2 linked regions of the Caenorhabditis elegans genome follow. The protein of the gene in region 2 interacts with the protein of the main gene of each other region in a pairwise test. Each region holds a gene or a part of one and is shown on either strand. Other genes may lie near its edges.

What was found.
Region 1: the proteins of F59C12.3 (region 2) and ZK669.5 interact in a two-hybrid assay, tested with the Caenorhabditis elegans proteins (one large-scale study listed by BioGRID).

Annotation. Positions count from the first base shown.
Region 1 is NC_003280.10:7,945,121-7,948,877, forward strand, and holds ZK669.5 (GTP-binding protein Rhes), read right to left. Parts: upstream 1,758-3,757; 5' UTR 1,757-1,757; coding exon 1,694-1,756; intron 1,395-1,693; coding exon 1,212-1,394; intron 1,162-1,211; coding exon 1,001-1,161; intron 954-1,000; coding exon 858-953; intron 683-857; coding exon of another isoform or gene 675-682; coding exon 539-674; 3' UTR 376-538; downstream 1-375. Other genes in the region: dbt-1 (Lipoamide acyltransferase component of branched-chain alpha-keto acid dehydrogenase complex, mitochondrial), read right to left, coding at 1-55.
Region 2 is NC_003284.9:16,607,504-16,611,260, forward strand, and holds the start of F59C12.3 (Angiomotin_C domain-containing protein), read right to left. Parts: upstream 2,022-3,757; 5' UTR 2,017-2,021; coding exon 1,854-2,016; intron 1,804-1,853; coding exon 1,669-1,803; intron 1,602-1,668; coding exon 1,544-1,601; intron 1,374-1,543; exon of another isoform or gene 1,149-1,373; intron 1,037-1,148; coding exon 931-1,036; intron 887-930; coding exon 782-886; intron 737-781; coding exon 621-736; intron 1-620.

The DNA.
Region 1 (3,757 bases), on a different chromosome or scaffold from region 2:
GCTTATTTAATTTAAAAATTCTAGACGACGTTCCCAGGAGTCGTGCGGCCATCATTTTCGTCGGTTATTCTTACCAGTTTCTTCTTCTACAATTTTTGCGTTTACGAAATTAAAATTTATGAGAAATGACTGAGGAAAATAAAAAGGAAAATAAAAAAAAGGAAAATCCGTGGAAGCTGTGAGAAAATGAATAAAATGACAACAACGCGTCAAGGACGCATGCTGGCGCAAAGTGTCTTTGCGCATTTCTCGTGTAAACTGGCGGTTTTTCAAATTCGAATTCCAAGAAATCGCACTCTATCACGTTATGGTGCATCATGGTGCATTTTATGAAACTGTTTATTTAATTCAGAATTTCGGAAAAGCATATATATTTTTTCAGAAATTCAAAAGGTTTATTTCGTGATTTCATAAAAGAGAAAATAAAAAGAGATCAAAACCGTAACGCCCAATTTGTTTCAAAAAATTAATACCTCAAGAAACTGTGATTTTTCGTAGTTCAATAGAAAAAACAAAATATCTAAACTCAAAAACAATACTACATCAGTGTGCATTTATCTTTTTTAAGTGCGGGAGCCGAAGTTGTTGTCGCCGTGGGAACCGGTTCAACCCAAGCTTCAACTGTAGTAGATGGTGGTGACGTTGATGTAGAATTTACAGACGAAGACTGTTTTCTGAAACGCTGAAAAAATGTTGAAGGAATTATTCAGTTTATATAGTATTCAGAATTTTAGAATTTTAGAAATTTTCATTACAGATTGGATAATTGGAGAAGGTCTGAAAACTGTCAAATGAAAATATAGCTATTTAAGAGAAGAACGTTTAAATAAATAATTTGAAAAGTAATAGAGTCAAACCTCTCATTCGCGTTTAAATCTTTCTTCTGTCGTGTCAATTTCTCGATGAGGTAGGCAAATGGATGCATAACATTGAATTCTTTCAGTGCTGACACTCTGAAATTATTTTTTTATAATTTTTTTATTAAAAATCATCTGCAAACCTATAAAGTCTCTTATGTTTTTTCCTCATTTCTCCTTCAACTAATCCTTTATCCATTTGACTATCTTCCACAATATCTATTTTATTTTCTATGAACACAAGGGGAATTCTCTCTGTCGATTTTTGAATTTCATTGTATAATTCTAAAGTGTATTCGAAACTCTGAAATTATTTATTTATTTGATTTGCCAGCTTCAATCGAAATAACTCACATATACATCAGTTGTAGAAAAAACAAGAGCAATTGCATCGTGCTCTTTTGACATTCCTTCTTCCCATTTTTGTGAAACAGTTGCTTCAATTAAAACCTTCTCATCATCAACAGTAAGAGAAGTCCAAATACTTTCATTATCTCCTTCTGTGCAAAATGATCGGAGCAACGTCTTTTTACCAACCTGAATACATTTTTTTTTTCATTAAATGATTCTTAGAGTTACAGCCGTTGAAGAACAATTTTTAACATCAAAACTCAATTTTATCCACTCTGTGAGCTTAATGGGAAATTTTAAGTAGCCCTACTCATACTTTTTGAATAAAAATAAATATTTTGACTGCCACTACTCAAAATATGATACATTTTTTTAGAAACCTTTGTCAGAAAAATTCTAATAGAGAGTACATAACTAATTTAGTAAATTTAAAAACTAGAGACATTTAAATTTAAATTTTTAAAGATTTTAATTTAAAAAAATACCGATTTGCCTCCGAAAATAAGAAATTTGAAAACTCGATCATAAGAAGTTGGATCGGGAGCCATTCCTCTGAAAAACATAAGCTCATCCATTTTTCATTTGGACTGATGATGTTATCACCAATAATTCATATTGCAGGATAAAACATAGAAAAAGACAAAAATTATTGGAAAAAAAGAGTATATGGATAAAGTTAGAAATAGAGAAAACTCAATATACAAATCGGAAGTCATTTTTTCTTTTTTGGTAGCACTTTGAAATGTAGTATGAAAATATGAAAAAGAAGAAGAGAGTGAAATAGGAAATGTGTAATATACAACTTCCTGATCTATTGACACTTTTCTCATTTACACTACTCTGCTGTACGAAACAAATAAAAAACGTGGCGATGAGAAGTGACCAGTGTGATTGTGTGTGGAGGTCATTTTTAATATGAACCTATGAGAATAGTCTTAGTTTTTGAACTGATATCAGTAGTCACTACCAATCAGTCAAATTGAATGGAAATAACGAAAGAGACAAAGAAATTTGAAGATTGAATCGACTACGTCACAACGGTTTTCTCGTCTTCAAAGATATTACGTTCTCTAGTCTTTTTCAATTGGAATTAAAGTTTAGTGGGAAGAATGATCTGAAATTTTCAATTAAAATTTAATATTACCTTAAAAAGGTCTGATGAACAATTAGAAAACATGTTTGAATCATCCAAAATTTTCAGAAATTTTGCAAAAGTGGAACTAGTGATGAGTGAAATAAACTTGCAAATAAATTGAACATTTTGCAAAAAACTAGTTTTTCAGGATAAAAAATTTTCAAAGAGTATTAACAAATTTTTAGTTTCGAACCAAAAATATTTTACTTTTGAAATCGTTTAATTTTTCAAATGGAATCTAATTCGTCTTTAACCTCCTAAAAACTATGTATTTTATTCTTCTAAATTCGCATTTGAGGAATTGATTAAAGAAATTAAAATTCGAATCAACCATGCCAGAAATCATTTTTCTGTCATCTATTTCTAATTGACCTGGACTTATAGAAAACAGGAAGCTTTTTTAGTTGATCATTAATTAAATTGCCCACAGAACACACCCTCTCATTATTGTTTTCAACCAGACGACAAAGTAAGAAATACTAAAAGAAAGGTCAAGACCTATGTTGGAAGAGTTGAATAAAATGAGTATAAAAACTCTAAATAAAAAGGTTGTAGGAACAAAAATTTCGGTTCGTTGACTCGTCGGATATGAATGACAATGAAACGGAGAAGAGGATATCTATCAAAATGAGAATTAAATTGCGCACGGAATTAATAGAGATTGTATAGGATCAAGAGACTTAGAGAAGGAAATAATTGTAAAAGAGACGAACAAAAAATGGATTTAGTTCAGGATTCCGGAAGATTTATCGGAATGAATAGTAATTGATTATAAAATCACTATGATTTTTCTTAGAATCCAGCGATATTTTAATTAAAATCTCTAGGAGTTTTATGACTAAAACAGGAAAATAGAAATGGGCAGCTGAAAATTCAGACTTCTCCTTTTTTTGTTATTTCTGTAATTGTTGTTCGCTGCATGATGATTCAATCAGGCATACAATTCTAAAACACATGACATTGGACAACTTGTTGATTTTAAGCTTGTTTCTGAAATATAATGACATCAGTGGTTGACAAATGACAAACAGTTCATAGTTATGTGCTTTTAACAAACGATCATTCGTAGTTATAAAACTGTGTTTAATTGATAACGAAAACAACAAGGAAATAATTCGTCTCGGTTCAAAGTTTGAATGTGCAGTTATAGTCAAGTATCGTGCGCTCAAAGTGATTCGACATTTTGAAGTGAAGTTTTTTGAATCTAGAAGCAAAGCAAAAAAACGAAAAGACTCTCACCTCACATCCGTTATTTCTAAATAGAAATAGGTTCTACGCACGGAAAAAAGTTATTTCCTCCAAAAAAGAAAGAAAAAGAAAGTCAAAAGCTGCTCAAGACACCGGATCTGAACTTTGAGATTTTTCTGTTTTTCGGTTATTTTCTCAATATTCTCTGTGTCTCCAATGCTCACTT
Region 2 (3,757 bases):
GTGTAAAACTTTGTATGAAATAAGCTTTTTTTTGCTTACTCGGCATTTGGTTCTGGCTTCTTGCCCAACTTTGTCCTACAAAATATCAACATGGATTGGCGCAACTTGGCCAAAAGTTAGGCAAGACTTCGGCAAAAATTACACCAAAGTTCAACACAAGTTTCACCCAACTCTCGCCAGACTTCTACCAAAGTTTGAAACGAAACAAGAAAAGTTTGGGCCAAAGTTTGGCAAGAGTTGGGTTTAAAGTAGGGTAAGAGTAGAGTTCGGCTTTGGTTAAACTCTGGTGCAGTCTCAATCCTTTTTCTCAAGTTTAGCCAACTTCTAAGCCAAGTTAAGATTTTTTGGGCCAAACTTGGGCAAGTTGCAAGAGCCAAATGCGAAGAGTATTTTGCCCAAGTTTGTTTAATCAAATCATTATTGTTGTGAACTTCAATGATATTAGTTGTGTTCAATGTTTGTCTAGTTTGCCCCAAACAACAAAAAAGTGCTGCTCGTGAATTTTGTGAAATAGTTTTCAATTCATTTTTAAATGGAAACTTTTTTATATTGCCTTCATTAGATATAAATATCAGAAAATTGTTGTCTCTTTTTACCGACAAGATTTTCAACCAACTTACTTTTTTACAGACTTTTCCAATTGAATAATCACGTTCAGCTCTAAATTTTCTTGCTTTTTTCGTTCATTTGCCAAGTATTCGTATTCTTTTTCCAGTCGAGCATATGAGTATTCAATCTGCAAGCATTTAGGTTTCCCACTATTTTGAAACTTCCAACAAACCTGTTGTAGTTTTGAAAGACTGCGCTTGAAAGCGTCGAGCTCTTTTTTCAAGTGCACATTCTCCTCGCGGAGAATTTGAATGAGCTTCTGGTTGCTGGATACTCCCTAAAATAATTGTTTGTTTTGCTGTTGCTTGTTGAAGTTCTTACTCTGTTAGTTTGGCTCAATGTGGGGACGTCAAGTGCTTGATCTCCAGATGCAGATGCCCTACGCTGATAGGCAGATGTGCTCATTTTTGATTCATTTGGGGGAATACTGAAATTATTAATGTTTAAAAGAAGAAGGTCAAGCTTTTTTTTGTAAAAAAAATATCTCAGGAAAAATGTTGAGTTTGTCAAAAAAGTTTGTTTGTTTTTTGAAATGCAACTTGAAAGTAGGAAGTTTTAATTTTAGATAATCGTTTAGCTAAAAACCTGTGCGGAAGTTGTTTAAAAGTTTTTCCATACGAATATAGTGATTAAATATAAAAATGAAACTCTTGTTATAATTTTTGAATTTTTTATTCACAAAAAAAAAAGAGAGAAATCTAGCAATTTTTCAGTATTCGTCACTTACTACTTATTAAATTCACCAAAATGTTTTCTACGATTTTTATAATTTTATAAAATGAAAAAAAAAATGCTACAAATTTCCTTATTTAAAAAGTGTGGCTGAAATTAATGCATAGTGGGAAACACTGTGGATAAAGTTATTGATACATTCAAAAAAAATTTTACAGTTTACCGTATAACGTTTCAAAAACATCATAAAACCAATACTTACTCTGACGATCTTGATCCACTCGCAATAAGACATGGCTGAGAATGACTGATAGGTGATGCTGAAATAATATACTATTTTCATCAATCCACCAAAAACAGAAAAAAAACAAAAAATGTCACACGCACGTCCTGCACTTCCATGTAAATCCTTCCGGCTGTTTGCTCTTTGCATGTTCATTTCAAGCTGATATTTTTCGAGCATCTTCTGCAACCGCTTCTCGTCGTCATCCTTGCTTTTTGTTTGAGCCTGGTGGTTCATCACTGAAAAATAGTTTTTCGAATTGCAGGACCCCTGGTTCGATATTGCTCACCACTCGCTTTCAGACTTGGATTCAACTGAGCCTCCTTTAGAAGTGAGTCTAAAATGTTCGTCTCTCCCTGATACATGGGTGTCGGTGGCACTGCATGCACTCGTCGCTGATCCGATGATGTGCCATCCGACGAGCGCGGATCTATCACGTCCCCTCGATTCATTCACCCTGAGATTAGTTTCGATTAAATAGTGAATCATCAAGATTGAATGTAGAACGAGAAAAAAATAGGTGAGAAAAATTAGACATTTATTTGGGTGCTAATATGGCAATCATACCTAGAAATATTTAATCAATAACGTAATTCTCACGTGGTCATTTTTCAACTAAACTACATGAAGCTAATACTAACATGAATTTTAACTTCACATCTTGAATGAATGAATATTTTGAATGCAAATACAAACGTGGTGTCAGGCCCACGGTGTCAGGCATTACGGTTTCATCTACAAAAAATGCGGGAGTTTTTCAATCGAAAAAAAATTGACGCCAGCGCGTTCTTAACCGTGCAAAATCAGTTGAGAACTCTGCGTCTGAACTCCTGCATTTTTTGTAGGTCTACGTAGATCAAACCAAAATGAGACACATTGACGCCACAAGAATACATGAAAAAATGATACAAAATTATATGTATTCTGGAAAAAAATTAAACAAAACTAAACCATGAATATTGTTGCCAGTGCAACATGTTCCCAAATTTTACGAATGATAAGAAGACACTTCGTGAGCTAATACATACAATGTAGAAACATTTTCATTAGTTTAAAATTGAATTAAATCTAATTTGATAATATACCAATACTCTAAACTGTAAGACCAAACTAAAAGTGACAATTTCTGGTATAAGTCACAAATACTCAACAACAAAAAACTAACACAAACCCGTCTCGGGCGGTCAAACGCAGTTTCGATTAAACTACACTAAAAGGTTTCAAGTGACCTGACCCGAAATGCAAGTTCCTAATTATATAATTACACGCGTTCGTGTGGAAGACCTTCTTTCCAAAATCGTTTAGTTTAGTTCTGATTATCGCGGCTTATCCGTGTTAATCTCTGACGTGGTCGAAATCCAAAATGAAGAAACTTATGTTTTTGCTGTTTTTTCCAGTTTTTTTGTTTTTGAATCATGTGTACTGAACAACAAATGGGCAGGATGAAAAGCAAAATATGATGAAGCTAGCCGAAAACATAAACAATAGAAACAAAAACTTCGAAACAAAAATATGAGGAAAGAGAATATGTTTTATATGACGAATTTTTTTAAAACTATTTTGATATTTAATGTGTAGTTTTTCGTTTAATAATTTTAGGTATGGTATGTTTTGTATCAATTTTGCACCCCATGGTATTTTTCATGGATCTTCTATGATTCCCAGCGTCTTCAAAATGCTCGTATAATTTTGTTTCTAAATGTGCACATTTTTGTTTGAATCCTACGTAAATTCCAGTTTTGTATATTGAATTTCAAATATAAACAGTCAAAAAATGGTATTGCAAGAAATACTGCAATGAAAAACACAGTAGTTCTAGGAATTACGAACAAAAATTAATTCGTCGGTTTATCATCTTGTAGAATTGGATTTTTGACTTCTGATTTTTTTAAATATTTTAGAATCTTTTTCGATTTTACTTACTTACTTAGTTTTACCTAGTTTTATTTAGTTTTATTTGGTTTTATTTTATTTTTTCTTTGATACTGAGTTTTATCGAATTTTCACATAAATTGCTTTAAGTTTCCTTGAACAAATCATTTGAAAATCATCAAAAGTATTTTAGGATCATTTTATGCGTTAGTGATTATTGATTTAATATATGGGTTATTGAATAGAAAATGCCAATTTTTTGATTCTATGTGACAATTGGTTTCTTTCTTTGTGATAGCAAATTAAAAAAATATTTCAATG